Linked DNA regions of Cricetulus griseus. The protein of the gene in region 3 purifies or fractionates together with the protein of the main gene of each other region. This does not show direct contact. Links are inferred from orthologs where the notes say so. Each region holds a gene or a part of one and is shown on either strand. Other genes may lie near its edges. The genes, in order: Tns3, Tns2, Csk and Pxn.

What was found.
Region 1: the proteins of Csk (region 3) and Tns3 purify together in Homo sapiens (affinity purification with mass spectrometry; 4 studies listed by BioGRID and IntAct, with this or other methods). This does not show direct contact. The link is inferred for Cricetulus griseus from reciprocal best matches to the Homo sapiens genes CSK and TNS3.
Region 2: the proteins of Csk (region 3) and Tns2 purify together in Homo sapiens (affinity purification with mass spectrometry; 6 studies listed by BioGRID and IntAct, with this or other methods). This does not show direct contact. The link is inferred for Cricetulus griseus from reciprocal best matches to the Homo sapiens genes CSK and TNS2.
Region 4: the proteins of Csk (region 3) and Pxn purify together in Homo sapiens (affinity purification with mass spectrometry; 4 studies listed by BioGRID and IntAct, with this or other methods). This does not show direct contact. The link is inferred for Cricetulus griseus from reciprocal best matches to the Homo sapiens genes CSK and PXN.

What each region holds. Positions count from the first base shown.
Region 1 is NW_023276807.1:96,520,095-96,527,705, reverse strand, and holds part of Tns3 (tensin-3), read right to left. Parts: intron 3,454-7,611; coding exon 2,215-3,453; intron 1-2,214. UniProt on the Homo sapiens protein: May act as a protein phosphatase and/or a lipid phosphatase. Involved in the dissociation of the integrin-tensin-actin complex. EGF activates TNS4 and down-regulates TNS3 which results in capping the tail of ITGB1.
Region 2 is NC_048595.1:398,502,360-398,509,970, reverse strand, and holds part of Tns2 (tensin-2), read right to left. Parts: intron 7,588-7,611; exon of another isoform or gene 6,509-7,587; coding exon of another isoform or gene 6,503-6,508; intron 6,419-6,502; exon of another isoform or gene 5,704-6,418; coding exon of another isoform or gene 5,632-5,703; intron 4,322-5,631; exon of another isoform or gene 4,316-4,321; coding exon 4,207-4,315; intron 3,823-4,206; coding exon 3,785-3,822; intron 2,963-3,784; coding exon of another isoform or gene 2,940-2,962; coding exon 2,901-2,939; intron 2,585-2,900; coding exon 2,546-2,584; intron 2,411-2,545; coding exon 2,361-2,410; intron 2,139-2,360; coding exon 1,967-2,138; intron 1,615-1,966; coding exon 1,564-1,614; intron 1,243-1,563; coding exon 1,120-1,242; intron 1,035-1,119; coding exon 970-1,034; intron 195-969; coding exon 111-194; intron 1-110. UniProt on the Homo sapiens protein: Tyrosine-protein phosphatase which regulates cell motility, proliferation and muscle-response to insulin. Phosphatase activity is mediated by binding to phosphatidylinositol-3,4,5-triphosphate (PtdIns(3,4,5)P3) via the SH2 domain.
Region 3 is NC_048597.1:169,253,729-169,259,992, reverse strand, and holds the end of Csk (tyrosine-protein kinase CSK), read left to right. Parts: intron 1-14; coding exon 15-127; intron 128-380; coding exon 381-600; intron 601-1,375; coding exon 1,376-1,469; intron 1,470-1,627; coding exon 1,628-1,693; intron 1,694-1,770; coding exon 1,771-1,870; intron 1,871-1,980; coding exon 1,981-2,071; intron 2,072-2,268; coding exon 2,269-2,342; intron 2,343-2,442; coding exon 2,443-2,638; intron 2,639-2,717; coding exon 2,718-2,804; intron 2,805-2,995; coding exon 2,996-3,178; 3' UTR 3,179-3,845; downstream 3,846-6,264. UniProt on the Homo sapiens protein: Non-receptor tyrosine-protein kinase that plays an important role in the regulation of cell growth, differentiation, migration and immune response.
Region 4 is NC_048597.1:95,637,042-95,645,364, reverse strand, and holds the start of Pxn (paxillin), read right to left. Parts: upstream 5,589-8,323; 5' UTR 5,574-5,588; coding exon 5,534-5,573; intron 5,430-5,533; coding exon 5,203-5,429; intron 4,952-5,202; coding exon 4,842-4,951; intron 4,507-4,841; coding exon 4,370-4,506; intron 4,282-4,369; coding exon 4,080-4,281; intron 3,101-4,079; coding exon 2,965-3,100; intron 1-2,964. UniProt on the Homo sapiens protein: Cytoskeletal protein involved in actin-membrane attachment at sites of cell adhesion to the extracellular matrix (focal adhesion). Recruits other proteins such as TRIM15 to focal adhesion.

The DNA.
Region 1 (7,611 bases), on a different chromosome or scaffold from region 3:
CTGCAAACTTTTCCAAACCTCAGGAGAGATTTTGTTCCTGGAGGAAAAGCCTTTTATTTTACTATCCCAAGTACCATCTTCCAAGAACACTCATTAAACAAATGTTGCACAGACTTTTGTTTCCATTCAAACCTTAGAACTCTGAATTTCCTTAGTATATTCAATTCAATGAGCTCATGCTACAAGAACTGACCTGGCCTGAGGCCTTAGTCACTGCTGTTCTTTCTGTCATGATGGCTGGGGTTGCTGATGGCTGTATCACAGCCTGGGAACTATACCAGATAGGAAGTCTTCATTCTGTCAACACCACATCCCCCCACCCCCGCCCTAGCCACTTCAAACAACTACAATATCCTGCTGTTTGTCTAATGATGGATCTCAGCACAGGACAGGTAATGTAATCTGGCTTTCTTCACACCTTTTATCATCAGACACTGGGATAGAGTTTCCTCTCCACAGATGGCATGAGTGAAAAGTCACAGCAGCCCTATCCTTTAATGACAGCATGCCAGCTAGCTGACAGTCCATGCAACCCTGATGTTAGCTAGGACCCATGCTGCAAGATTATGCTCCTGCCTGGAGAGGGATCCAGACATCAGCCAGGCTGCAATCTTCCAAAGACGGCAGAAACCATGGGTCTATTCCACAAGGTCCACGTGAGCTCAGGATCTGACATCACCTACTAACCTCTACAAACATGATGACAAGGTGGGATAGGCTCTAAAACAAGAGTATTGTGAAGATGAATTGAGCCATTCTGCTTGGACCCCAAAGCAATATTTAGCATCCTCATGGGATTCTACCATCAGCATCACTAGCACACAAACTCAGGGGGATGCTCATGGACTCTGGGAAGCACAGAAAAACACTAATGAGAGGAAGGAGAAGATGGCTAAAAGCCTTCTTGCATTATCTTTCTCGTCCTCCAGGTCATGGTTCCTAGTAACACCCATGGATCCATCTTACCTGCCACTTCCTGCATCCACTACATCACCCACACATAGATACCTCACCTTGGTCAGTCTCCTCCAAGGATAACATTGTGCAGATTCCAGACCAAGCCTTGTTCCTTCCATCATCTCCCAGACCCCTTCTCAGGATGTGCTGCCCAAGATCTGAAAGTGCTGACATCTCAGGATGTCATACACTTTAGCTTGCTTTCTCATCTAAAGACTAAATGACTCAACCAGCTCTCAAACCCTCTTGACCCATGTTAACACTGGGAGCATCTGATAGGAACCGGATCCTAAAGCAGGCCTCATCACACTGACGCAGAAACATTCCCAGAGACTTGGTCAGAAGTCACTGTCCACTCCCACTAACCTTGGCCTTCCAAAGAAGGTCTTGTCATGGTGTCTAGTTCTCCTGGTTCTAAGGTAGAAAGGCCCAGAGTTTTCTCTTCTGGCAACTGGCCAACTCTCATCTGCTTCAGAGGGTATAGCAAATACACGTACCTAGGCCCATGGTCCATAGTCTTGGCTCTAGATCATGTTCTCAGGACCTAGGAACCTGGATCTGCCCTATCTGAGCTTCTCTGGGCCCACTCCACACTCTTCGCTTTCTGTTCTATGTCTCCCTCAGCATTCTTGAGCCAAACTTCTCTCTAACACAGGTTGGCTACTGCCACCCATAAACACCCTCCAATGGTGTCTCAAAACTCAGACAATACATTTGTAAATAGGACAGTTTGCACATCCTGACTGCTTAATCAGACCTTTTTTCCTCCAAGGAGGACTTGAGAGCCCATCAATTGTAACTGAGAGGCCTAGCCCTCCTCCGAAAAGAACATTCTTGAAAGGAGAAAAGCTGTATTGCTAAACTTACTCTCCAGATGTGGGAACCGAGGCTGGGAGAATTTGTGCACAGGTTCTGAATCACATTGCTACCAGGTGGCAGAGGAGCATGGATCAAGCTACCTGGTGTTCTCAAATGGCCTGCTGCACTCCGAAACAGATGTGACCAGTGTGTGAATAAGACAGGGATATTCGTCTTTAACAGGCCTAATCTCTGTCCCAAACCATCTTTATACACAAGTTTTGCATTTCTTTCTTCCCACCATTCAAATTGCTACCAAGCTCCCATAGTGCCCAAGGAACCATTTGGATTCTAGGTCACAGCTTAGTAGAGTAGAAACTGCAAAGGAAATGAATTTCAGAAAACCCAAATTCTTAGCTAGACAATCTCTTACCTGACCCCAACATCTTATCAACTCACCTTGCTGGCCAGGGCTCCGGCCAGGGCCTTCCACAGGGTCCAGCCTGCCACCACACCGGAGCCCATTTCCCACACCATCAGGACATACAGAGCCATTGGCAGAGATGCCTAAGGCATTCATATGTGTGGGGATGGGCTCAAAGGTGGGGTCTAGCTCCAAGATCAGCCTGTTAAGTTGCTCAATGGACTGGTCAATATCCAGAGTAGGAGAGCCTGGGGAATGACTAGTGTTCAGATCCTGATGGCCTCCATTCATGACTCTGTCCTCTGCAAATCTGGGCTGGAGTGTTTTACCAGAACAGAGTGGCTGTGTGTCAGGGGGATTTGGTCCATTGCTGATGCCTCTCTGCACAGCCACCCTGCTGCTGGCTCCACGTGTGGGAGTAACTGGGATATGGGGCTGGGGCTGGTCCACTGTGCTGTGGCTGCCCAGCCTGGCCTCCCCATCTGAGGCAAAGCTGTACTGGTGAGCAGCCACCATCTGCTGCTGACGCACCCAGGTCTGGGTGGAATAGTTGCTTTGCCCATAGGCCTGCGGTGGGGTGGGTGTAGAGGGCTTCCTCAGCAGGGGCTGCAGCTGCTTTGGCTCTCGGCCCCCACACATCCGCTCCCGCTCATAAAGAGAGTCTACACCAAGGCCTAGGTCTGGAGAAAGAACACCATGGTGATCTTCACTAACACCATTGCCAAAGCCATCAGACAGGAGGGAGTTCTGGCTGCTCTTGAGGCAGGTGAAGGGGCCCAGGTGGGCTGACTGTGGCCCTTCAGAGGAGGAGAGAGTACCCAGGCTGTCCACACTGTGCAGATCATGGTGAGGCATTTCATCATCTAGAATGTCAGTCTCCCGGTCCTTTAGGGCAGTATCTCCATTCACATGAACCTGGGCTGGCACCACGTGGCGCGTCCCACTATACTTGTTTCGCACATCAGTCATGTCTTTGTGGGAGCTCGACGAGTCTTCCAGGCCGAATCCACTGAGTAGCTGGTCCAACTCAGCTTTCTCCTGAGGGCTCAGGCCCCTCTGTGCTCCTGGGATTGGACGCTCTTCTGTCTTATCAGTCCTGGCCGAGGCAGTAGAGTGACCCGAGTCACTGCTGACTGACAGGGTGTGGTCACCGTGGTCTGGACTGCTGGTGGCTGGCATGCCCTGAGGGCTGCCAGGGATGCCAGAATCTGAGGCACTCTTTTTCCTCACCTTGGCATACAGGCTTCCATCCACTGGGCCCTGTGTGTGTAGCACTGTAGGGAAAACAAGAGACAGGTCATAAGCCAGGGAGCAAAGGGAATACCAGGAACCACAGTGGGCACAATGCTATGTCCACAGAGGAGTGAATCTACAATGCAACTCAACAGAAAACAGGTGCAGACTCAACTGGGGTCCTAAAACTCCATATATCCTCTGAAGAGTGAGCATCAGTAAAAAGGAGTCACGTATCAAACATATTTGCCTAGAACCATTACTGCCTTTTTGGTTTTGTTTGTCGTGCTGAGGATGGAACCCAGGGTCTCTTGAATGCTACTAAGTGCTTTATCACTGAGCTATACCCCAGCTTCATGCTTACCTACCCATGTGGGACACCACACACATATACTCACACAGGCACTTGCACATATATACACAAACACATGCACACATCGATAGAGAATCTTGGGGATTCTTCATTCTTTGAATCATTAATCTCATTATTTTGAATGTGGAGCCCAGCTCAGCTCATGAATCCCCAAGAATCAACTGCTCCTCTGTACTTACATCTCATACAGCTAACATTTTTGAGCATGCAGGTGCCAACTGTCATTAAATCCCCTATGTCACCGATAAACCTGCCATCCTATCAACACTCTGGGATGTGCTAAAATCTAATATGCTGCTCAATGGAAAGGGGGAGTATAGGGATGGCTCAGGACCTGTTCTTACTGCACAAGATCCTTGGGCAACATAGGCATCTAATAACCGTCAGAATCTTGGATCTTTGGACCTAACTTGCATGCACTATACATGGAATGCCATGAAACAATGTGGACAGGAAGAGCTGCTGCTGTTATTAATTAGGGCCCTGGCAGCTGGCTGTACGTGGAGATTCACGAGCCACAATCTGCTGACTGGCAGCTGTAATTGCCTTGGTCACACAGGGTGTATTATAGCAAGAGGTTCCTAAAATAAGCTGGAGCTCACACACATCTCCCCTGTAAGCCTCCCCCATTTTCCTGGACTCTCTGCACTGTGGAATCATAGGCATTGCACAGGAAGGGAGTTGCTGATGGCTGGAAACCTAAGCTGTTTAGGCACCCAGGATTCATGGCTTGAGCCACCCTCCACCTTTCTGGTGGCTACTGAGCCTATTCATGCAGTAGTTCAGGAGAGACTAGCCCTGGGCATGTGTCTCATGGTCCCTGGGCACAGCTGGACACTTGATCATACTCAGCAGCTGCTGCCTTTTTGGAAATACTGGGGTGGCTGACATGGTGGGAATGGGACTGAATGGTATGGGGTGCTGTGCCACACGCTCACACAGCCCTGAAAACACAGCTCTGAGAACATGCCTAGCCTGGGCTCCTTTCTCAATTTAACTGCAGTATAGGGCAAGCATGCAGAGACGATGGGACACGGATGGGGAACACTGATTGTGTAGTCTAGCCTGGAAAAGCCCAACCACATCTTAAAGCAGAACTTGGGGGAGAGAGGCCCTGGGGGTGGGAATCACACACAAACTGTAAATAGAGCAAGTGTGCAGAGAGATGGCAGGTGGTGACACGCACGTATGCTGGACGGGGTGTGGAGTCATGGGACCTTCATATCGTTATTGCTTGTTTAGTAAGATCAGAGGCTCTAGGAGAGTAAATAAGATTAAGCAGCTGTCAGGAGTAGAAGGTGCCCAGAATCCAGGCTCCAGGGCCCGGGTGCACCTGCAGCTTGACACCACCTACCTACCTGTATACAGAAGGCTGGGAGTGCACAAACTTGAGGTTCAATTGGTGACCCTAACTGGGAAGAGTTACACAGCAAATGACACTGAGCCAGGTTTCAGACACAAAGAGACTAAAAGCACATGCTACACCCAGCTCTGAAAATCAGACAAAAATGCCTGGAAAGATGATCCTGTGTCATCTTTACAAAGAATCACGTGCAGAATCACTGAGGTTTTATAAAAGAATGGCCCCTGGAAACAATGTAACCATGTGCAGAATCACTAGGGATATATATATATATATCCCTGCAAACATCAAGCCCATGGCTCGTTCCCAAGCTCTCCCAATCAGGGAGTTTACCTTGATCTTCAAATCCCCATGAGAAAAGGTGGAAGTGATTCTGTGTGGAGGCTGACCTGAGAACTAATGGCAGCACACCCAGAGCATCATTATAGGCTCATGGAAGCATCACTCCATCTGGTATCAGGGTGTTCTGCTGCAGGAAACTCAACTGCAGAAGACCCAGTGCACTTCCTTCTGTTCTGATCTGCACAGTGTGAGAAAGGCGCTGATGAGAAGTTTCTGCTCCTTAAGAATTATAGAGACAACTCCACTCCTACACACACACACACACACACACACACACACACACACACACACACACACACACACACACGAGTGCGCGTGCGGCAAAATGCCAGATGGCTGCTACTCCAGTCCCTGCACAAGGCATGCAACCAGAGCACAGATTACAGATCACTGGAACACACAGCTAAGGGCAGAAGTCTGCTCATTTCAAGGGCAGAGTGCATGCTGCTCAGACAGTTCACTTACAGCTTCCATAAGGTATGAAGTATGAGTTCTCCATAAACCTCAATTAAATGGTACCAAGGCTTAAAAAGAAAAGGGAATGCAAGAATGAACTGTAAGAATATTCTTCTAATTTTCTAGTTTAAACTGGAATTCAGCCACACACAAAAAAAAGTGCCTTCAAAAACTTCTAGAGCCGATCCTCTAGTTGTCCCTATGCAAAGAACAGTTCACCAAGAAGGACCCAGAAAGTGGTAAGAGTGGGCTATTTCTCTCTCTGGCAGCCAGGAATCATCCTTTGTTACTTTTATTAATAGCAGCTTTTTACAATTTGAGTTTTGAACAATTTTTGACTATATGTATATGGGAGTGGGGGTATTTGCATGAGTACTGTAGTTACAAAGGTCAGCAGAGGACATCAGATCCTATGGAGCTGGAGGAGTTACAGGAGGTAGCGAGCCACCACTGATGTGCTAGGAACCAAACTCCAAAGCACTGCAATAGTGGTATGTGATCTTAACCACTGAGCTACATCCCCAGGCCCAAATAAGAGAAATCCTGACAGTGATGCAGGAAAACAGCATGATATCTACCCTGCCTATAAGCCTGATCCAGCCTGGCCCAGCCCAGTTCTGAGCCCCTAAGAGGGTCTGATAAATCCTTACAGCTCAGACAGTATATGGCTATGTTCCCACAGGCAATCCCAGTGGCTGGAAAGAAAGGGGCCATCCAATCCCAACAAGATCCAGAGACATGCTGGACTCTCACGAGCTTCTTGTTGCATGCATAGCTAGCTCTCAAATCACAACATGCCCAAGAAACCTACACCAAGCTCCCAAGCTGGGCATTTCTTGCTAGAGGATGTAGAGGGCAAGGGAGCCCAGGAAGGCAGAGGAAGCTGCCCAAGGGCTATAGCTCCTCAACTGGACCAGCCAGCAGGAACCACAGGCAGGAGAGCAAACAGCTCTTGTCCTCACTGTGCCCACCCTATTTTCTGGTGAAGTGCCACTTGTCACTCTTTACTCTGGACATACTAGCTTCTCTTTCATCCTGGAGGACTTGCCATTGCTCTGTGAAATTTCTGGTCCTGACATTCCAGTTGTCCTGGGCTCCTCACTGATAAAATGAAATAATCATTCCCAGCTTTCAGTGAAGTCACCAGAACTAAAAGCATGTACTGAAAGCGCTCGGCCCACTGAGCCTAAAGAAGGGCACCCATTAGCAATATTGAAAAGTTATTTCTACAGTGAAGAAGTCCTAACAGCTCCCTCAGATTCATCTCCTTACTGCTCATTCCACTGCTCTCAGATTGCTGGGAGCGAACCTGCCTCAGGGCCTTTGCACTCACTGCCCCCAGAGCTCCCCATTCCTCATCCCTGCTGGGTTTTTGCTTATACAGAGTAAGCATCAATGTTTTCCACCTGTTCTGAGCTGCTCAGCCCTGAGGCAGGGATTTCCTCTGCTTTGCTTCCTCTAGTACTCTGGTGCAAAAGAACAGCCCTGGTGCCCAGTAGTTCATTAACAATGGAGAGACTAACTCTCCCCAGCTTATCATCACATGACAAAACCTGGGCCACACAAACAGCCAATAAAGATCTAAAAGCAGATGTGCCCAGCAGCCCTGGGCCACCTGTAGTCAGTTATCCCATACTCTTCCAGACAGCATACCATATCTGACTG
Region 2 (7,611 bases), on a different chromosome or scaffold from region 3:
AGAGCCTGACCCTGTTTGTTCTCGGTTCCCAGAACTTGGCATGGTGCATTGTGGGTTTCAAGTTTGCTGCCTGAGCAGGAGAATCAGCCCTTCCCCACTGGGCTGCTCACCGGCGTTGGGAGGGCTGCAGTTCCGTGGCCACCTTGTCCTCACAAAATTTTCTCATGGTGAGAGTTGCCAGCGCCTGGTCTGCCCTGGGGAGAGCAGGGCGGGTGGGGTGCTTAGGAATCAGTCTCATTCTGGCCTTCTACACCTAAGCCCCAGGGAAGGAGGAACCATGGGATTCCCCTCAGTGTAGAGGGGACCCCCAATGGTGAAGAGAGCTAGCAGCCCTACAGTACAGTGTCCCAGTTGTTGGGCCTCAGGCAATTGCCCCCTGAATTTGACTTTTCTCACCTGTAAAGTGGGGCAGTTAGATAATCTGATGAGTTGAATTATGTCCCTCCCCCACAGAAATGTACCTCAAATGTGACCTTATTTAGAAATAGGGTCTCTGCAGATGTGATTAGATAGGTTAAGATGAGATCATGCAGGAGCAAGGTGGGCCCTGAATTCAGGGTGACTGGTCCTCAGAAGAGGAGAAACAGAAACAGACGCAAAGAGAACACCACGTGATGATGTAGGCAGGGGTTGGAGTGATGCTGCTGCAAGCCAAGACCACCACCAGAAGCTGGAAAGAGGCAAGGAAGGAGTCTGCCTAGAGTCACAGAGAAGAGTTAGGCCCCACTGACACCTTCACTTTGGATTTTTAACATCTTAGAACTGTGAGACAATTGAGTTATCTTAAGCCAGTTTATGGCATTTTGCTGACAGCCCTAGGAAACTAGCCCAGCTCATCTGTTGGGGAGTCCTGGGCGCCTAAGTGGAGACAGGCAGTATCACACCAAGTTTATAGTGTAGGACTCTGACTAAAGAGGGAAACTCAGACAGGGCCAGGTGAGGAAGGGCCACTGGGACAGGGCAACTCACCCTGCAGAGATCTTGCTGTAATGCATATAGGCAGAGACGATTACTCCAAGCTTGCCCTTGCTCCCCTGAGAGATAAAGAGATAGGGTTGTTGGGCCTACTCTTCTAGGATGAGGATGCCTCAGCTCTGTGACCCCAAGGTCCCAGCCTACCTTGCAGTACAACACGACCACATGCTGAGGGTCAGCACTGAGCCATGTCTCCATGGCTTTGCAGATGGAACACAATTTGTCCAGAGGTGGGGCATGCAGCTCAGGCCAGCCAAAGTCCTGCACCTGGGGAAATACAAGGGTAGAATTGTGTGCGTGCGTGTGTGCGTGCGTGCATCCGTGCGTGCGTATGCAGGAACAAGGAGGTGAGAGGGTATGAACATCAAACAGGGGCCCTGGTGCAAAGTGGGGCTTGCTAGTGGTCCCACAGTAGCCTGGACACTTTACAGCCATACTGCACCATGTTTTCATATATCTTAAATGGTGTGTCATATGAGAGGTGCTTAAGAGTAAAATGGATGTCAGCTGCTACTAATAACAAGGAGGCAGGGCCTTCTCATAGGGTTGGTTCAGCTTAAAGGCCAGACAGACCATTTTGCCTCCTACCTTAGGGTTCAGGCGGGTCAGGTCATGTCGTTTCTCTGAAAGGTTGAAGAGCTGAAATAAAGGGAAGAGTTAGATGAAGGCAACTTCAGACAGAGGAGCTGGAGGTGGACCCTCAATCTTACTCTAAAATAAGATTGCAATCATCTGGAACTGAATTCTCTGCGAGCTGCTGCGCGCCCCACTGAGCTCAGGCCCGGCCTGGCCCGCCCGGCCCGCCCCGCCCCGCCTCGCCCGCCCGGCCCGCCCCGCCCCGCCTCGCCCGCCCGGCCCGCCCCGCCCCGCCTCGCCTTTGTACACTAATACCCGCCTCCTGCCAGTTCCATTTCTGATGACAAACAGTAGCCTTGCTCATTTGGACCTCCCAGCCCTCTCATTGGTTGAATTTGGCCAACCCGCTCCTCACCAGGTACTTGTCCCGGTGCTTGGATTGCAGCACATGGGCCAGTTCGCGCAGGTGGCCCCGGTGTCGCTGCTCGTCCGGCCGTGCGGGGAAAGCTGCAGCCAAGATCCTCTCGGTCACATAGGTGAGGTCCAAGTCCCAGCGACGCTCCATGAGCGGATCCAGGCTGAAGCTCCTGGAGAGGTCGCAAAGCTGATTTAGGGAACAGAGGCGAGGCGCCCCACGGGGCTAGTATTATGAGAAAGGTCCTGGGGAGCGCTGGGAGGCCTGCTAGGTCCCGAGGGTGCGTGGTCCTGAGGGGGAGCATTGTCCTGGGGTGTTCTATTGGGGACCAATGCCATGAGCTGTGTGGGGGTCCTGTGCAAAGTGCCCACGTGGGATCACCGGGCGCTCTCACCTGGGTAGAGTGCTGCGTTGCTTTGAGTGGTTCAGGGACTTGGTGGATCCCTGGTGGATGAGAAACCGTACATCGACATCGTCTTTGGACGCATCTCTTCTAGACTTCCCAGTTCAAAGTTCCACAAACCGTGGTCTCCCAAAAGCTACCCACCCCCCACCCCCAGACCCCTAAGCATCCCTTACCAGGTGTTCTATGCGCCGTACTGGGGCAGTGTTTCTCCGCTAGAGGGAGGAGGTGGGGGAGGAAATGGGAGTGGTTAGGGCAGGGGCAATGACCAGTCTGGACCTGGAGGGTGGGGGTGGGAGGGCATGTCCGTGTCTATCTACTCCCTGGGGGAAAAGAGGGAACTCCAGTCTCCCCCCCCCCCGCCCCTCCCGCACCCCAGGCTCTAGAGGACAGTAACAGCGGAGAGCTAGAACAGTCAGTAACTACAACGCTCAGTTTTAGGTAACCTCCTGGCGCCCCCACTCTGAGACCACCAGACCTCTGGACACTAGTCAGGTTACTATCTTCCCTGCCCCATCCTAGAGCACTCACCAGCTCCGCGGGGGGCAAGGCCTGACAGGATGAAGTCACCTGGAAGGAGATGAGTGACTGAGCTGGTGAAAGATAACGTGGAGGGGCTGTCAACTGATGAGTACAGGCTCCAGCTGAGGTTCCTCTATTCCTCTATTTAAGGGAAGCCTTGCTTCTGGCCTCCTGGTCCCCCACCTCTCAGGCCCCCTGCTTGTTGCTTTTGGCTCTCAGCCCCCTGCCCAAACAGACCCCCATTCATCCAGCTGCAGGACAGGAGTTATATATAGGGGCGGGCAGGCAGGCAATGGCCAGGGGTGGACACTAGCCTCTTTCACCGTTGAGACCCCACCCATGGGCACATAGCTCCCCCAAGCTAGCTTGAGGCCCTGGGACTACCCCCTGCACTGAAGGAGGAACCAGGAGCATTCCTCAGGGATGGGGCTGTTTCAGGTTCTCAGTAGACAGTGGGTGCCACCTACACCATGTACCTGTAGAGGTCCAGCCCTTCCAGCACCCAGGTTAAGACCAACTTGGGCATCCTGAGGACCCTTCCCCAGAGGGAAGGTACAGCCTATTCCAGTGCCTGGTCTCTGAAACCCTGCTCCCTCTCTGTCCACCCCACCCTTCCTCCTCCTGCTTCTCCACCCCCCCATCCTCTCGCCAGCTGCAGCCTGGGCACAGCACCAAGACAAACGCTGCCGACTCACTGTCCACCCTCCTGGGCCAACCCTCCAGGGGTGGAGTAGAGTAGTTCTTAAAGGGCCCGGCACAACACCCCTGCCACCCAGGAGGGGTCTCCAGGAATGGCAGGGGACTGGGTGGAAGAAACATGCCAGTATGGCTGAAAAAGCGTGTCTGGGCAGTGAAAAGACTCCATCCCCCATCAGCTAGGACCAGGTACCCACCTTTGCTTCGCATTTTCTGTGTGTGGCCACCTTGCAGACTAGAGAAGGAGGGGAGAACAGCAGAGGCTTAGAGGGCAGTGAAAGTGGGCACCCTCCACTTCCCCAGGCCCTGAAAGTCAACCCTGGGACTTAACACTAGATTGCTGGAGCAGTGAGCAGGGCAGGGTACCAGCAGGTTCTGCTCCAGAGTCTGGGATTCAGGCCAGAGGTCTAGGATGAATGGAGGCAAGGAGGAAGGGCAGCCTCTAGTCACAGGTGAGGATGGGAAGGTGGCAGAGTCACAGATCTACTGGGCTGTGGCAAGGTGGGTGTCATGCAAGTGAGGGCATTTGTCCCTGCTCTGTAAGCCTGCCTGTTCCTAGAGCCACCCAGCACAGTGGTGTTGAGTGGAGGGCTCTGGATACGCAGGAAGAGCACCTCACCTCGGCAGGAGACACCGGTCCCATCGATGGTCACTTTACACACTGCACACACCGGAGCTTTCTTCCGGAAAACCTTCTCCCGGAAGCTGTGTGGTTCTGCTTTCCTAGGCTGCGGGTGGGATGACAGATAGATAGAGGTATGAGTTCCTAGTGGACCCATCTCTGAGGCTGAATTGGAAACCTTGCCTTGGATAGACGCTGCTGCTTCCCTCCCTTCTAGTTCAAAGCCTCTGAACTCCCAGGCACACTTGGCCACAGCTGTCTCGGGGTAGTCATGGGGCCTGTCCTCTACAGGACTTGGAATGTGACCCCTTGCATCACCTTGGCTGGGTCAACTCCTCCCTAAGGGATCACTTAGGTCCCCTCACGTGGCCCTGCTATGTGATGTCCTTGTCACTGCCACTTCAAATGTGAGGGGTTTCCAAATCTTGGCAGAGTGGGGGTCTGACTCTTTCCATCTTGCCCTCCCCAGATGAGGTTTGTATACATGAGCTGATGGCCCAGACACACATGCACATTGTCACATAACACCCAGACTGGCTGTAGCCAGTCCTGAGCCCCTGGCTCTCAATGTCTCCAAGCTCCAGGCAGCTGACATGCCCCCCTCCCTCAGGGTCAGAACAACGTGTTTACTCTTTGTGCATTGAGGCTGCAAGCAGCAGTTGTATAAGAAGGGGGTGGCAATGTTGGAAGGAGGAATGACAGCGGGGACAGACAAGCAGCTGCCTTGCTGCCTCTGTGTGTCCCCTCCCTATCCAGCGACAGTGAAGCTAGCAGCTGGGGTGCTTCCAGTTGCCCAGGTCCTACTTCAGTCCCTCCCATTGCAGGCCGTGCCTCCCACCCCAAGTCTGTGGACAGTCCCTCCACACTCTTCATCTGTATACCAGCTCCTGCTGTCCCCTCTCCCTGGATCTGCCCACCACAGTGTTAACACCTTCGAAAGGCAAGGGGGAGGAACAGCTTTGGTCCCTTGAGTGTTCCAGACCTCTTCTGGACTGGAGGTGGGACCCACTAGGATACTTGGACATACTTGTTGATAACATCATGTGCAGATGACGTCAGTGGAAGGCATCCTCCCAGTCACAGTGCCTGGAGACCTGGCCTCCTCCCTACCTTTCATAGCTTTTTTCCCATCCCTTTTCTCTCAAGCTTCCCTGGGAGGTCAGGGCTTAAGCTCTTTGCTGAACTCCCAGGGCTTATTCAGGCTCAAGCAAGGAAAGGCAGAGAAGTCCAAACAGATGGCAGGATCATACTGCCACCCTGGCCACCTCAGGGGGGCAGGGGAATGAGGGGAATACTGAGGCAAGGTAAGGAGCAGGAGAAGAGGCTGAAATTAGCAAGAGGGTCTGGCCTGAATCCTGGCCCTCCCCCCTTGTCCACACCTCCACCCTGCCCCACCTTTGCCCAGCTGGTGGGCACTCCTACCCTGCTGGTGGCCCGGCTGCTGTCCCTCCCCAGGGCTCTGAGCAACCTTTCCATAGGGCCGCTGGACTTCATGGTGTCTGGCTGGCTGGGTCTTGGCTGCAGGGCCTGAACAATGCTGGGGCCTGGCCTGGGGCTTCCTGGAAGCAGCCTGGCCGAGGCAGCCGCTTCCCTTGGGTGGAGGGGAGGCTGTCTGGCTGGTGTGTGGAGAAGCCTGGCCCTGGAAGTGAAGGGAAGTGCAGGCGGGAAGGGGGCAGGTCGCTGCTCCAGGAAGTGGGGTGGGGGAGGATGTGGGGGAGGCCAGGAGATCAGATTCCCAGGATCTACCCCTGCTGGGAGTGTCAGCCCAAGATCTTTGGCTCTCCCCTTCTCCTCTGGAGCTGCCTCTCACCCGGTGGGCCACCCTGTGTAGGGGTCTGTGGTCTTGAGATCCAGCCCTGGAATCAGTCAGTGGGGCAGGGTGGGAATTCAGGTCTCAGGGCTGGGCTTGAGGGCCAGAGAAGAACACTGTGTCCCCAGCCAGTCTCTAGCCTGGACTCTTAAGTTCCCTTGGGACTTCCTGTGGGAAGGGAGTGGAGCTGGGAACCAGTACCCCTGGCAGGCTAGGACTCAGACTACTTAGGGTGAAAGAAGTAGGAATGAGGGCCAGCTTCCTTGTCAGATGGGGAAGATCATGCAGTACCCTCCTCAAGGCCAAGCACCAGCCAGAAGCCCAGCTGCCCACAGTAGTGAGTGGTCCAGAGCAACCCAGGGCCCTGGAAAGGTTCCACCTGAAGACCCCAGCTACTGTGCTCCAGATAAAACCCACAGTTCCTGGCTTAGTCCCCCTGTATCTGGGACCCCACCCACCCACCCATTCAAACCTGAGCACTACCTTCATGGCTCTTCTGGGCCTGGCTCTTCTTCATCTGTGGCTGTCACTGGACCTGAGGACTGGACAGGAGGCCCCCTCCCAACACATTCTCCACCCCCTCTAGGGCCTCCTGCTTCCCTCCTGGGAATAGGGCCAACTTCCTGTCCCAGGAGTCAAGGAAGGAGGTGGATAGGGCCTTGGAAACGATAGAACAATCTTCCTAAAACAAGGGTCAATGGCCTGGGGGTTCTCGGCTCAAGCCCTGGACAGCAGCCTTTGGAATGCTGTAGCTGTCACTTGAAAGAATGTACAATCTTGTCGTCCTCATTTGCATGGTATTTACTGAATGTCCCAGTGCAACTCCTCCGGTTCTGGCTACATTCACAGGGTTCCACAGGAGTTCCCTCCTCTGCCTCCTGTTCATCCAGGTGAAGGGCTGCTCTACTCCTCCCTGGTTCACCTTAGAAAGACCATCAGACTGGGAAGCCTGAGCCTTCTTCCTGCATGCTCCAATTCTCTAGGAAGCCTGTCACCTGTGTACCCTGGCTAGAGGGTGGCACCTGAGTGGCAAGGTGTGGCCCCCCATACTGTAACTGGAGAGGGCCACTGGCTCTGTAATCCCTACCCAAGTCCTGGCTGTGTCCCAGGACATTCCAGGCCAATGGCCAGGTGGGCAACTGGGCCTGGCCTGATTCAGCACCCAGCCCTGCTGGGGGAGATGGGTCACTGTAGGGCCTGTGTGAGTGTGGCTCCCCCCATCCAGTGTTTTCCCTCTGCATCTATGGCACATAGCCTTACTTCTGCTGTCTCCTTGTGGGACTGAAAGTCCCCTCCTCTGTGAAAAGTCCCCAGACATCCTCTGGCCACATTGAACTTTCACTGCCTGCCCGCACAGACCTAGAAAAGTGTCCATTCAAATGACTGCAATTGGCTGGTCAAGAGCTATGAGTGTCCCCACCACGGGGAGTGAAGTACTTCTGGAAGGATCCTGAAGGCTGGCTGAGGTGGCGTTACCAGATCCCGTAGATCTTCGCTTCCCACCTCCTGCCTGGAATATTCCAGAGCTTTTTTTTTTCTTCCCCCCAGCAGGGCCCCCTCTTACTCTGAAGCCTTGGGTTTGTTTGGAGAAA
Region 3 (6,264 bases):
TGCCCTCTCTCCAGGACCCAAACTGGTACAAAGCCAAAAACAAAGTGGGCCGTGAGGGCATCATCCCAGCCAACTATGTCCAGAAGCGTGAGGGTGTGAAGGCAGGCACCAAACTCAGCCTTATGCCGTGAGTACCAGGAGGAGGGCTGGAGTCTCCTGGTTTGGGGAGAAGAGAGGAAAACAACCCTGAGTAAGAGGCGTTGTAGGAATGGAACAAGAGGTTGCACCTAACAGAGGGAATAGGCACCCAGCAGAAGAAAAGGGGACAGGGAGAAGATGGTGCCCTGGCTGATTGGAAGCAGTGGGAAAGCGCATGTGGGGGGCTGGCAGGAGGCACTGGGGTCAGTGCCATTGTGACCCCCAGCCTTGCCACCCCCTAGCTGGTTCCATGGCAAAATCACACGGGAGCAGGCCGAGCGGCTTCTCTACCCACCAGAGACGGGCCTGTTCCTGGTGAGGGAAAGCACCAACTACCCTGGGGACTACACACTGTGTGTGAGCTGTGAAGGCAAGGTGGAACACTACCGCATCATGTACCATGCGAGCAAGTTGAGCATCGATGAGGAGGTGTACTTCGAGAACCTCATGCAGCTGGTGGAGGTGAGTAGGGGTGCTCCCCCTTCTGCCCACACTCAGACACACCTGAGTCCACCTGAGGACATTTCACACAAACCCAGCACCAAGTCACCTGGCAGAGTAACCTGGACACGTTGACAGCACACCCCAGTGGAGCACCTGCTATGTGCCAGGGCCCATAGTACCCCAACAAGGGCCCGTTTTATAGATAAGGACACAAAGTTCTGATCAGTGAAAGTCTCTCCTCTCTCTGTACGTTGGAGGTGCCACTAGACTTTGAGGCTATCTGATCCAGAACTCAATTCCTCTTCCACTCGAACCTCCTCGTGTGTGTGCCCTGGCCACCAGGGTCCTTCAGGCCTTTGCACACCCACAGGTCCTTGCAGCTTCCGACACCAGCTCTGTCAGCTCTGACCAGGCCATACTTGGCAACAGAAAACTGTAGGTTCCCTCCAAGCTCACTCTCATCCTGTCTCTGGTTTACATTGGCCGAGGACACCTGGCTGGAGGCTGGTGCAGGGAGCAGGCCAGGCTTTGCTGTTTACCTTAAGATGCTGGTCAGGCCCACAGCAGTAGTGACAATTGGGAGTCCAGTAGCTGATGTGGGTGGGGTGACACAGGAAATGGACAGGCATTCCCACCCTTTTGAAATGAGGAACCTTTCACACAAAGCAGCTGGAGGCTTCGTGAACTGGCCTCTGCTGCCCCCTGGTGGTCAGACCTGAGCAGCCCGTGAGTCTATGAAAAATGGGGCCAGCGGGTCTGGTTCTGAGGGCCTGCCCTCCCCCTCTCTCTGCAGCACTACACCACAGATGCCGATGGACTCTGCACTCGCCTCATCAAACCAAAGGTCATGGAGGGCACAGTGGCCGCCCAAGATGAATTCTACCGCAGTAAGTACACTAACTACATTTCCACTGGCCTACCCTGGTGGTTTGGAGACATCAGACATCCCACATCTAAAGCAGTTTGGCCTGTGCCTGCCATCTCAAACGGCCTCAACTCTCTGTTCACCTCACTGACACACTGCTTTTCTGCCCCCACCCCACAGGTGGCTGGGCCCTGAACATGAAGGAACTGAAGCTGCTACAGACGATTGGGAAGGGGGAGTTTGGAGGTAAGTTGAGGGAGCCCCGGGAGGGTCTGAGAAGCTTCGGGTGTCCAGGAAACCGCATCCCTCCCTTCTTCCTCCAGACGTGATGCTGGGTGATTATCGGGGCAACAAAGTTGCAGTTAAATGCATTAAGAATGATGCCACTGCCCAGGCCTTCCTGGCTGAAGCCTCTGTCATGACGTAAGTTGAGACAAGCATAAGGGCAGGTTGCCTGGGGCCTGGGTGGAACGGGGGAGGCTGGCTGACTGAACTCTGAACTCTGGCTGACTACTCTGTCCCGCCTTGTCCAGGCAACTTCGGCACAGCAACCTGGTCCAGCTACTGGGTGTGATTGTGGAGGAGAAGGGTGGGCTCTACATTGTCACAGAGTACATGGCCAAGGTGGGTTCTCCTCAGCCTCACCTCTCCCTCCTCCCAGCCCCTCCACTTTGTCCCCACTGAGCTTTGAAGTTGCCAATCCTGGCCAGTCACTTACTTACTGAGGGACAAGTCGTGCCCTCTCCAAGCCACTGTTTCCTAAGTGTTCTGGATGTCCCCTGTTCCCTTTCCTCACGTCCCTTTCTGCCCTGCCCCCCCAGGGGAGTTTGGTGGACTATCTTCGATCACGTGGTCGTTCGGTGCTAGGCGGAGACTGTCTCCTCAAATTCTCACTGTGAGTGATGCAGCCTGGGGTGGGACTAAGAACTTGAAGGAGACCCCTGCCCTGCTATGGGAGCCCCAGTCTGAGGGGCATGTGGCTGTCCTGTCCTCAGAGACGTCTGTGAGGCCATGGAATACCTGGAAGGCAACAATTTTGTACATCGGGACTTGGCTGCCCGGAATGTGCTGGTGTCCGAGGACAACGTGGCCAAAGTCAGTGACTTTGGCCTCACCAAGGAAGCCTCCAGCACTCAGGACACAGGCAAACTGCCCGTCAAGTGGACAGCTCCGGAAGCCTTGAGAGAGAAGGTGAGCAAGGGTCCTAGAGTCATTATCCCCTCTCCTGAGCTTCCTAAAATCAAGGCTGATTATCTTATGCACATGGCAGAAATTTTCCACCAAGTCTGATGTGTGGAGTTTCGGAATCCTTCTCTGGGAAATCTATTCCTTTGGGCGAGTGCCTTACCCAAGAATTGTGAGTATGGGTCTGGGAGCCAGTGCGTTGCTGAAAGTGATGGCGGGTGGCAAGAGTAGCATCCATTGGTAACTGCCTCGTACCTCGGGTCTGTCCGGCCTGAGGCAGGGCTGAAGGCCCTTCCTAGAGAGGGAATGTGGGTAGGGCTCCCTTCTCTTGTAAGGCACCAAACTCATGCCACCTGCTCACAGCCCCTGAAGGACGTCGTCCCTCGGGTGGAAAAGGGCTATAAGATGGATGCCCCGGACGGCTGCCCGCCCGCAGTCTACGAGGTTATGAAGAACTGCTGGCACCTGGATGCTGCCACACGGCCCACCTTCCTGCAGCTTCGAGAGCAGCTGGAGCACATCAGAACCCATGAGCTGCACCTGTGACCTCTGCCTCCGCCTAGGCCCTGGGCCTGTAAGGACAAGGCCTAGAAGATCACAGATCTGGTGCCTGCTGCCCACTGGGCCTGAACTTGAACTGAGCCCCAGTGGGCTGGTAGGCCTCCTGCCTCTGACCTGCCTGTCCCTTCTGGCCCCCCAGGGACCCCACCTAGGCCTGGCATCTCTTATGGACCCACCCACCTATAGGGCTTGGGGCACTCACTGAAGGGGCTAAGGAGGGAGGAGGACAAGGAGCGGGAGGCAGTGCCCCCACTGTGGTCAGCCTTCTCTTGGCCTCCCATCACTCGCCTTCTTAGAGTTTTATTCCTTTCCTTTTTTGAGATTTTTTTCCGTGTGTTTATTTTTTATTATTTTTCAACATAAGGAGAAAGAAAGTACCCAGCAAATGGGCATTTTACAAGAAGTACGAATCTTATTTTTCCTGTCCTGCCCCTGGGGGTCGGGGAGGAATCAGCCTCTCTCTAGGGACCGATCACCCCAGCCTGTTCCCCATCCCGTGTTCCATGTCCAGTGTTGCCTCGGTCGCCTCTGTTTGCGCTTGACCATGTTGCACTGTTTGCATGTGCCCGAGGCAGGCGTCTGTGCTGTGGCCGCTCACCCACCGCCTTGTGAGTTGGAATCGTAATAAACCACTCCCATGAGGACACCGCCACCCAGCCTCGGCGCTTTCTCCGCCGAGCCTTCCTGTCTGCACAGTCGTCTTCCCATGCCATCTTGTCCATCCCCCCTGTCTCTGTGAGTGGGGCTGAGAGGGAAGCATGGCTAGAAGATGTAGCCGCCTCTTTGTGTCAGCTGCACGAGCCAGTGTCCTGTGTCTGCCCATGGGGGAGTGCTCACCGCCTGTCCATTCCTATCAGCTACCACCTGAGCCCAGCACCTGGGCAGCCTTGGGCTCTGAGACCAGTCCATGGGATGCTGCCTGGGAATTCTGGCTGCTTCTCCTGCCATGCTGTCCAGGCCGGAAGCACAAAGAATTGGAAGTCCAGGCCTGCCCAGATGGGGATGTGGCCCTGGGGCAAGAGCCCAGATAAAGAGCCTCAGAAGATACTGACCTCAAGGGTGACGGAAGGGGAGCTGCTGGGGATTCTCACATTTCATCTAACATGTGACAGCTTTGCTTTTCCTCACCCTACTGTGTGCCAAGCCCTGGCTTTCCTGGGCTTTGCATGGATTCAGGCACCTTCCTTATGCCCCAACTGGGGTAGACAAATGGAGAATGAGAACCAGCTTGGGCTTTTCTTCCCCCCAAGTTGTGCAAGGGCGGTAGAACCCTGGTGGGTAGGAGAGACTTGATTCAGTAGAGATAAGTAGGGAGGTTCCCCTTATCCCATCATGGTCCTGGCCCTCCTCCTCCAGCCTGCAGGACCTTAGACCAACGAGTTTTGGCTTGAAGCATGTCTTCTGTGTACCTCCCCAGGCCCACTGTGTTCCAGTCCCTCCCAATGCAACAACTTTCCCCACTAAGCTGCCCTTTGCACACCCTTCAGGCTGATTTTTGTGAAAAGCAGACAGATTAGTCATTCAACTGCAAATGTCCAAATACCTGCTGAGGGTAGACTGCTGGATGCTTCTGGCAGGTAGCAGAGTGGACCCTGTGGAGTTCATGGTTGAGAGGACAGTTAGTTACACACAGATAATGACAGGCTCTTCTGTTGTAAAGGAACACCCAACAGGAGAGTATCATAGATCAAGAAGTGGCATCCATGCTGAGTTCAGGATGGGTGCAAACATAGGTGGGGCTAGTAGCACCCCAGGGAGAGGAGACCCTAGTAAGGGAGGCTTGTCCAGGAGCTCTGAGAAGGTGGGTGACAATAACCAGTGGACAGCACCAGGAGATAAGAGATGGGGCTAGGTAGGGAAGGTTGTGGCCTACATGTGTTTCTTACCAAGGCAAGAGTTACTGTAATTCAGTGACATGTTTGGGGCATCAGAGACATGTCAAGTAATGCCATTCTAAAGTAATCACCCCAGGTCCCAGTGGGGAAGTGTGAGAATAGAGTAAAGATGATAAGAGGTAGTCGATGTATCAGTAAAACTTAGCAATGGGGTCAGCATGCTCCACAGGGAAGGAAAGGGAGAAGCCAGACGCCTCTGACTCTCCCTGATGGGTGTGTGTGTGAGCTAGGCAGCTACCAACAGAGAGGACCAGAAGAGACCATCACAGGTTCTACTGAGCTCAAGCATTCTGAGTTGAGTGCTTTTGAAACTGCCAAGAGGTGGGGGATTGATAAAGCATAGGCTGGAGAAGGAAACTGAGAGCTGTCGTGAATGGATTGAACCTAAAGGATGAGGTCCATATGGTAGGAAAGGGCAAAGATGAAGCCGAGGGGGGCTCTAAGAACAGGTCAGGAAGAAGTTCACACACCTGCAAACCCAGCACTCAAGAACAGGTCAAGAAGTTGTTCACATGCCTACAAACCCAGCACTCTTGAGGCAGGAAGATTATGAGTTAGATAGAGGCCAACCTGGGCTACTTGTTGAGACACCATCTTTTAAAAAATTAAAAATTGCTTCTGCAAGGCATTGAGATTAGGAGGGAGCAGGGAGGGAATGTTACTGAGGTCCAGGCAGAGGTCTTCTACAGGTGGAAGCCACTGGGACCTGCCTCCCAGAGGGCATGGAGATGGACACTGTTTTTGCCCCCAGGTCCAAGGAAACTGCCCTAGTAACTTCTGTGTTTGGCCAGGCCCATACCAGGAAAATGTATCTGACTGGAAGGAGAGGGGATGGGGGCAGAGGGAGTGGGAGTTCAGAGGCTTCAGCAAGTTTGGTTGTCTGAGGGAAGAACATTGGGTAGCATCTAAGTTCTGAGGGAAAGACAAGCTACTGAGAAGGCATAGTAGGAGTTGGGGTGGGAGTGGAGCTTTCCTTGGAGTTGGTCTCTCTGAAACTGCAGAGGAGGAAGACACACACCGAAGTCCTGGTGAATGTGTAATGACCAGATTGAAACCAGATATACACAGCTGTAACCCCAGCACTTTTGGGGGTGAGGGGGCAGGGGGATTAGGAGTTCAAAACCACCTTGGCTACATAAAGAGTTCTAGACCAGCCATGGTTGTAAAGTGAGACCC
Region 4 (8,323 bases), about 74 Mb from region 3:
CCTCTAGCCTGGAACACTAACTTAACTTCCAGGGACCTCCGTCTCTCTATCCTTAAAATGGGACAGCAGCATTTTGTTGGCTTACCTCATAGGGTTATCACAGTAATTATTTGACAGCCCTTTCCCTCCCTCCCTTCTTTCCTTCCGACTTAAATAGAAAAAGGGAGGCTCCTTTTTTCTTTACATCTTTTAACCAGTGTTTTTCCCAGTTGACCTTGTAACTTACTCATCTGCAGTGTGTGTGTGTGGGGGGGGGCTGGAAAGAGGTGTAAAGTTCGAATCATACAAGAAAAAAATAAGAGCCAGGCATGATGGCGCACAACTATAATCCAAGCACTCAGAAGGCTAAGGCAGGACCAACAGCCAGGAGTGAAGGAAGGAAAACCAGGTATGGTGTTTTATCTACTTTTCAGGAATTATCACATCTAATCCTCTGGGTGACCTGAGAAAGTGTGCTATTATTGCTCCCATTTTAAAGAAGAGAAAGCTGAGCCTCTGGGTGGTTCCCCAGGGTCACATGGCTAGCAGGTATTGCCAGAGTGGTGTGTGGGTCTGTATGGTTCCCAAATCCATGCTTTCACTGTTCTGCACATTGAAAATGGGACAGCAATTCTAAAGGCAGTCTTGAGCAAGCAGAAGGTGGAGCATCACCACCACTCAGCAGGGTCCAGGTAACAATACTGCCCGACACATCCTCAGGGCCACCATCCTTGGCACTTTCTGCCAGGCAGACATTTATAGGGGCTGCATGCGGTTAGCAAGGAGTGGCCCACACTCAAGCCTAGTGGCTGCACAAGCTGCTGCCTGCCTGGCCAGCGGTGGAGATCCTCTCTGAGGTGTTGGGTGTGCCCATGACCCCGGCATGAGGAAACTCCGGCTCTTCCTTCCTGGCCTCCAGAGTGGCTTTGGTGGCACCTTCTGGGTTCCTTGGGTTCTCAAGTGCCTGGGTTGGTCCCCCCAGGCTTCCTCTCCAGGGAATCTTTCCACCTAATTGCTCCTCATTAGCTGGGGCAGGGCAACTGCTTTCTAGGCCTTCTGGTTCTGACTGTGCTCGCTCCTGCTGGCCACATTCCTTGGTGAGACTCCAGGTGTCTGGGAGGACAGCCTGCCGATCCACTGCCATGACAGCTGGCTCGGTCCCTTCCTGGATGCTGTAAGTCACTCCGGGGGGAATCTCAGGCCTGGATCCTGGCACAGCCTGTGGCCATCTCTCAACGGGAGCCACCGTCTCCTCCGAACACACATAGCTGGCCAGCGGCCCCTGGGATCCTGTGCTCACAGCTGGGTGCAGAGTGTGGCAGAGGGGAGTCTGAAAGGGCTTAGTCATGGAGTCTGTGAGGTCATTCCTAACTTGAGCCTGGCTCTTAGCACCAAATGACTGCTGAGAACCCTCCCCAGAGGGACACCATGAGTTCGGAGTGCCAGATGTCCCCTTGAGACTGACCAAATCAAGCCTCCTGGGAGCCCCAGAAGGTAGAAGGACCTGACTATTTCCTTCCCTATTGAGGACCATGGGGGTGTGGCCTCCATGGGAGAATTTAGTGGGAGGAGGAGGATGAAGAAGGGTGATGGGTAGGAATGGAGTAGAGCTGGGCAGCAGCCCCTGGGAGCTCAGCACCACAGCAGAAGAGCTAGTCTGGAGGAGAAAGACAAAGGGAAAGGGAGAGAGAGACATGGAGAGAGGTGAGGCAACAGGCAGGCATGGCCTGAGAGTTGAGAGAGCCACCATCCGCAATGCATAGACATAAGAGTCTTTGGGAAGAGTCTAACCCCAGAAATGCTTGCCTGAGCCTCACATCCTTGCACTCTAGGAGACCCAGGGAACAGAAAACATCCACAAAGCCATGCTTACAAAGTCACCCACAGTAAGCACCAAGGGGACTTGCAATAAGCTGTATGATGGGAAGAGAGCTCCAGAGCTGGTTCTAGGTGCAAACAAGGGGAAGCTGGCACAGGCACCAGCTCTGTGCTCCGCCCACCCCAGCTTTCCTATATCCTCAAGTCCTTTCTCTAGGGCTCCAAGACACAGTGTAGCTTTTCCTCGTGTGGCACTGGACTACAGGTCTAAGAAAGCAACTGCAGCCTTAAGGGACAGGTACCAGCACCATCAGTGCCTGGATCCTGACTGGCTGCTTATCACCACAGCAACAAGGTGATTGCTATTACCAGCCCCAATTCCACCCAATCTCCCACCTCCGTGTGAGCTCCAAGTATGAGTCCAGCTGAAGGGAGGCAGGAGGCACCTTCTAGGCCAAGAATGGACAGACAGCCTGGCTCCCTTCTCATATTCCCCAAGCTGTGCCTCAAAGGTCTCTGGCTGACCCACATGGAGCTGAAGTCAGCAACTATGAGAAATTTCAGTCAGTATTAATCCCTATTGAGGCACCACATCTTCTAAAGAAAACGTTGTGGACAGGCAGGCCTGGAGAGCCTGGGAGGGGAAGGTGGGACGCCTCATGCCGACTGGCCAGGTGCTTGGCAGGTTAAGTTTCCCACAGACAGGACTCTGGGAACTCAGGCCCTTAAAGAAGAAAGTGAGGGTAGAAGGAAGCTGGCTGGAAATGCTGGAAAACCCCATCCCCACAGCAGAAAGAAAGCGGGTGCTCTGAGGACAGATAGCGTGGGAGATACAGCTCTGGGACAAGTGACCTCTCAGGCATGAGGTCCTGGTCCCACGGGGCCCAGCAGGACATACCCTCCCCCACCAAGAGCAGCTATCAACACAGGGCTCATTGTCACTGTGTTCCAGCTCCTGGTCCCCTTGACCTGGTGGCTGGGATCACCAGGAGAGGGAGGAATGTTCCAGCTAAAGGCATCTCTGGTTTCTCTGCCTTCACAAGCTGCTAAGGAGCTCAGTCTTGAATATTACCTAGCCTCTCTCCTCCAGGGCCCCGAGGAGCTGCTAGTCATACTGAGGAAGGGTAATGGATGGGAGCAGGGAAGACAGAGAGAATCAGAGGGCACCTTAAAATCCGACAGTGAAGCCATGAGCTCGTCCAGCTCCCTGGTAGCAGAGGAGGCCGAGATGCGTGTCTGCTGCTGGCTGGAGGTGACTCGCTGTGGGCTGCTCATCTCACCTTGGTTCACAGTGATAGCCGGGCTGTGGGGCAGGCATGGAGTCAGTAAGGAGCCCAAGGGTCAGCCCCAGGCTCCACGGGGGGGGCTCCAGATCAACGACACCTCCAACTCCAGGGAAGGCCACCAGAACCCAGCAGCACCTTAGGGATCCCCATCCCTGGGAAAGAGTGACTAGCTAAGAAACAGTGCTGAGGTGAGGTGACCAGAGAAGGTAGGTGGTTCACAGTACCCCTACAGGAAGACAGGGGCACCACTACAAAGCCTCTCAACACTATACACATGCGAGATTATTACACATCAATAAACACTGACACATGGTGGCTCATCCCTGTAACCCAGCACTTGGGAAGCTGAGGCAGGAGGGCTACTACATAGTGAGTTTCAGAAGAGTCTGGGATATAGAGTGAAACCCTACCTCAAAATAAACAAGACCTGACGCTATTAGGGGCTTCCCTAATAGCTGTGATTGCCACAGCTACGAGCCAGCCCCCACCCCCCCCAACATTATATACTATTATATACTATTTGGTCTCACTCTATTTACTATGTAGGGTCATCTCCATTATTACTGTCTGCTTTACCTATTTTATAGTTTATGTCGTATTTTTGCGCTATGGTCTCATGCAGTTCAGACTGTCTTGGAACTCACTTATATAGCCCAGATTGGTCTTGCACCTGAGATCTCCAAACCTCGACCTCCCAAATGCTGGGATTATAACCATGTGTCACCATGCCCTACTTTGGCTTATTCCAACTTATAGAGCGAGAGTAAGACTGTTGTAGCTGGCACAGCCATGATCTAAACCCTGTGCCACATCAGCAAACCTGTGCTAACCCTGGCTTTGCCGGGTCATGCCATATCCCCAGGACCTGGCAAGTAGCAGACACTGTAGGGAGCAGGTGACTTCAGGGCTGATGGACAGGTACCACACAGCCCGAAGACAGTCGGGGTGAGACTTCAAGAGCTTCCCCAGCCTGGGGAGACCCTAATGGATACTCACACAGGGCTAGGCACAGAACTCTCCAGTTCATCCAAGAGGCTCTCCACGCTGGGCCGCACATCCTCCAGGCCCCGGCCTCCATTTCGCTTTGGCTTCTCTTTCATCAGGGGCCCAGTTTTTCCTCCCAGGGTACTGTTACTCTCTGGGACACCATAAAGGGGGCTCAAGGCTCCAGGTAGTGGGGGGCTTGAGTTGGCTTCATCTTGGAGATAAGGAAACAAAATGGTTGCTCATCCCTGAGTCCTCTAGGAACCCAAAGGCCCATGAGTAGTCCAGAGACCCGCTCACACCTGCAGGGAAGCCTGAAGGGTTGTGCTGCACAGCGTTCAGTTCTAGTAACAGACGGTCAAGCTCCGAGAGGTTGTTGCCCAGGGAGGAGCTCATCATGGTAGGTGAAGGCTCTGCGGACTTGTGTTTGTTGGGGAAGCTTTGAGAAGGAGAGGAAACAAGTAAGACTCTTCTGCCCTGCACTGGATGTGGCAGGCCCCAGATTCTCAAGGCCGGAGGGGTGGAATGTTACCAAGTCTCTTCAGCAAGAAGGCGGAGGGTAGGGAAGGAATGTGGTAAGGCAAGGAGGAAGGAAATTTTGCTTCAGTTTCTCAACTACAGAGATGCTGTCTCTACAGAGAAGGCAGTGACAGGGCAGAGGGGAGCCAGCTGACAAGCACAGGGCCTGGCAGGGGCCTTCAGGCCTTCTATAGTTCCACCAGTGGCCCTAGGGTTTCCCAGAAGCCGGGCTGATGTACAGTGCTGGTTCTGTACCTGTAGACGTGTTCTTCCTCGCCTGCTCGGGAACAGAGAGCGCTGTCCTGAGGGTTAGAGGCACCGGAAGTCTTAGCACTGGAGCTGTACACAGGTGACGGGGATGGAGGCTGCAGAAGAAAGAGTACTTTACTCAGGCCACCCCCAGGCAGCTCCTGCTCATAGCTTGTCTCACCAGGGAATTTCCACAGCTAGTCAGGTGATTAATACTTGGTCACTGGCCCCTCACATGGTGGGTGAGAAGGGCAGTGTATGACTAGGAGCCCAGAATCCCAGTCCATCCCCAATGGCTTTCCATCTCCTCGGCAGATCAGCTCCTTTTACCACTCAGCCCCCAAGGGCTCCGCAGACCCCACCTTACCTGCTGGTGAGTGTATCGGGAACCACTAGGCTGCCACTGGTCTAAGGGGTCAAGGATCGTGCCATTGAGGGCCTCGCTGGATGGGGGTGGTGGAACAGGGGGTGGCACTGCAGTCTCCTGATAGGTATGGTTTCCAGTTGGGTAGGAGTAAGGGGGCTCCTCTGACAAGAACACTGGCCGTTTGGAGATGTGGGAGGTGGTTGATTCCAAGTCTGCCAGCAGGGCGTCTGCAAAGAGAAGACGTCCACTGGTGAGAGTTGGCCCTATTGGGCACTTCCCAGGGGCAGTGTCCTGCCTTCCTGAACTTGAAGAGATCCTGTCTGGCAGACACCTGCTGCTTCGATGGGAGAAGAGACCTGGAGTTTCCACATCGGCTGCCCGTCCTCTCCTCCCTCAGGGGTTAGATGCCTGGCTCTGCATTCCTCCTGACAAGGCTAGGCTGCTGCTGCCTGGTGTAAGCAAGAAATGCCTGCTTAGAACTCTGATTCCTGAGGGCAACTGGGAGAGCTGGGTGGGAGGAGTCCTACGTCATGTCACAGCACAGGGAGGGGCTGGGTAGATAGAGCCAGGTCCTCTCTGGACTTCTAAGAGCCTCAGCCCAAGTCTAAAGACAGGGGGTGGCCTTAGGGAGCACCTGTGCTCCAGGTAGGAGCGGAATTCCATGCTCTAAGCTCCTCCTGAGGCCCCAGGCTGTGGGTAAGGTATGCAGAGAGGTAGGGGGCTGGCATGAAGCCAGCTCGGCAGCAGCCACCCCCTCAACAAGCTGGGAGTAAGACTGCTCTGCCAAAGCCTGGCAAGCAGCCCAGCCCTAGAAACTCCAGGGCCCCATGACTCCGCTTTTAATGGGGGGTGGGTCAGATCTCCAACACAAGCTGCCATTACCCTGGCATGCAGTAGCCGACAAGAGGCTCAGGTTCTCGACAGGAAGGGACAGCTAGAGGGACAGGAGTTGGAGGTACTGACCTTCCTGCCATAGCCTCCCATCTTGGGACCTTCCACAGTGCCACGGCCTGGGTACAGTCCAGCCCCGCTCACCACACCCTCCCTCCTTCCTGCACTGCTCACTGACCTGCTCACTCTCAGCATCTAGTGACCTGCTTCCTGGGCCCTCGTGAGTGGCAATCGAGGGGCAGTGGCTGCACTGCACTGATCACCATCTACTAGGAACCACTAAAGGCATCTACACGCGTGGTCACAAACAAGTGCCCCTTCTGGTGACCTAAAAGGCCAAACTGTTGTCTTTGGAGCTGAGGAAAGTAGGCTTGGAGGCTAGCAGTACCTGCCCTGAGTGATAAAGCAGGAAAGGGCAGGATCACAAGACTCCTCAGACTCCTTAAGTCCCAGACACCAAGCCTGCAGGAGGGACTGCTGTGATTTCAAAGAGACAAGATACCAAATCTAAGGAACTCAACTTCCTACACACCAGGGGCTCGAGCTCTGATCCTTGCTGGCGGCCCTGTCTGTAGCTCCATTCCCATGCAGAGAAAAGGGAAGCAAGGGCCTTTGAGGTCATGCCCTCTCCTAGCAGCCCTGACTACCTGTCACTAGGGTGGGTGCACCTACCCCTGGCTCCTGCTGTATGGCTGGACGAGAAGTTGTTCGAAGGCCGGGACCCTGGGTCCCAGTCTCTTGCTGCTGAAGAAATTCTGCTCCTGCAGCCCCTCCCCGTCCAGGTCCCCCGGAGGAGCTCTGACTTCCTGCCTCCAACAAACCGGAACTACAGGGAGTCTCTATGAGTCTAGGTAAGGGCATAAAAGGAACTAATGTCCAAAGCCAATCCCAAAGAGTCTCTAGGGCCACACCTGCTGTCCATTTCCTCTGGGCCCAGCCCAAAGTAGGCGGAACTCCTCTTCCTCCATCACAGACTGAGCCTGCAGGGCCAGCTCCACAGAGCAGGCCACAAATACAGCCCTGATGGGGCTGGCAAGAGCAGTCCTGTACACCTATCAGGGCCAAGAGCTTCACCTGTGGAACTTGCCATCCCCCAACCCAACAACACTGCCATAGAGGGCTGGGCTGAGGTCCCCCTTGCCAAAGATGGCTAAGGGATAACACAGTTCCCTCCAGTTCCAAACACTCCAAGGAAGACAATGGCCTTCCCTGCTAGCCGGTAAATCAGGAGTTCCACTGCCCGCTCAACAAGTCCCCATGCCCTGCACCCATGGTGCGATGCTGTGTCTGGCTTTATTGGTTTATGGGCCAGATTCTGGTTTGACTTCTTTTTTTTTTTTTTTCTATTCTATTTTTATGGTACTAGAGCTAGAACCTGGTGCCTTGCAGCATGGTAACGTCCACCTCTGAACGGAGACAGGGTCCTGTTATGTAAGCCAGGTGGCCCCAAACTCTCAATTCTCCGACCTCCATCACCACTCCCAGCGGCACGAGCCTTTCTCATTTATTTGTTTTCTTTCTTTTCTTTTGTGTGTGCGTGTGTATGTGTGCTCAGCAGTTCGAGCCTGTGTGGAGGTTGGAAATCTATGCCAGGTATGTCCTTTTTTGGGGGGAGGGGTCGAGACAGGGTTTTTCTGTGGCTTTGGAGGCTGTCCTGGAACTAGCTTTTGTAGATCAGGCTGGTCTCGAACTCACAGAGATCCGCCTGCCATTGCCTCCCAAGTACTGGGATTAAATGTGTGTGCCACAATCACCCAGCTACCAGGTATATTCTTTTATCACATGCCACTTTGGTTTTTGGAGTTTTCTGTTTGTTTTTTGAGACAGGGTTTCTCTGTGTAGCCTTGGCTATCCTGGTACTAACCTCTGTAGACCAGGCTGGCCTCAAACTCACAGAGATCCACCCACCTCTGCCTCCTGAGTGCTGGGATTAAAGGCGTGCGCCACCACCACCTGGCCCAGAATACAACTTTGTAGAGTTGGTTCTCTCCTTCCACTTTTGCATGGGTTCTAGGTATTAAATTCAAGTCACCAAGCTTACAGTACCTTTACCCACTGAGCCATCTCACCAGCCCATCCTTTTTTGTTATTGTTTTTGTTTTTAGAGATATGGTCTATGTAACCCTGGCTGTCCTAGAGCTCTCTATGTAAAACAGGCTGGCCTCAAAAAATAACATTGTTTGTTTTGCGATAGGGTTTTACTAAACTAGCTAGTCACTGAGTCCCTGGG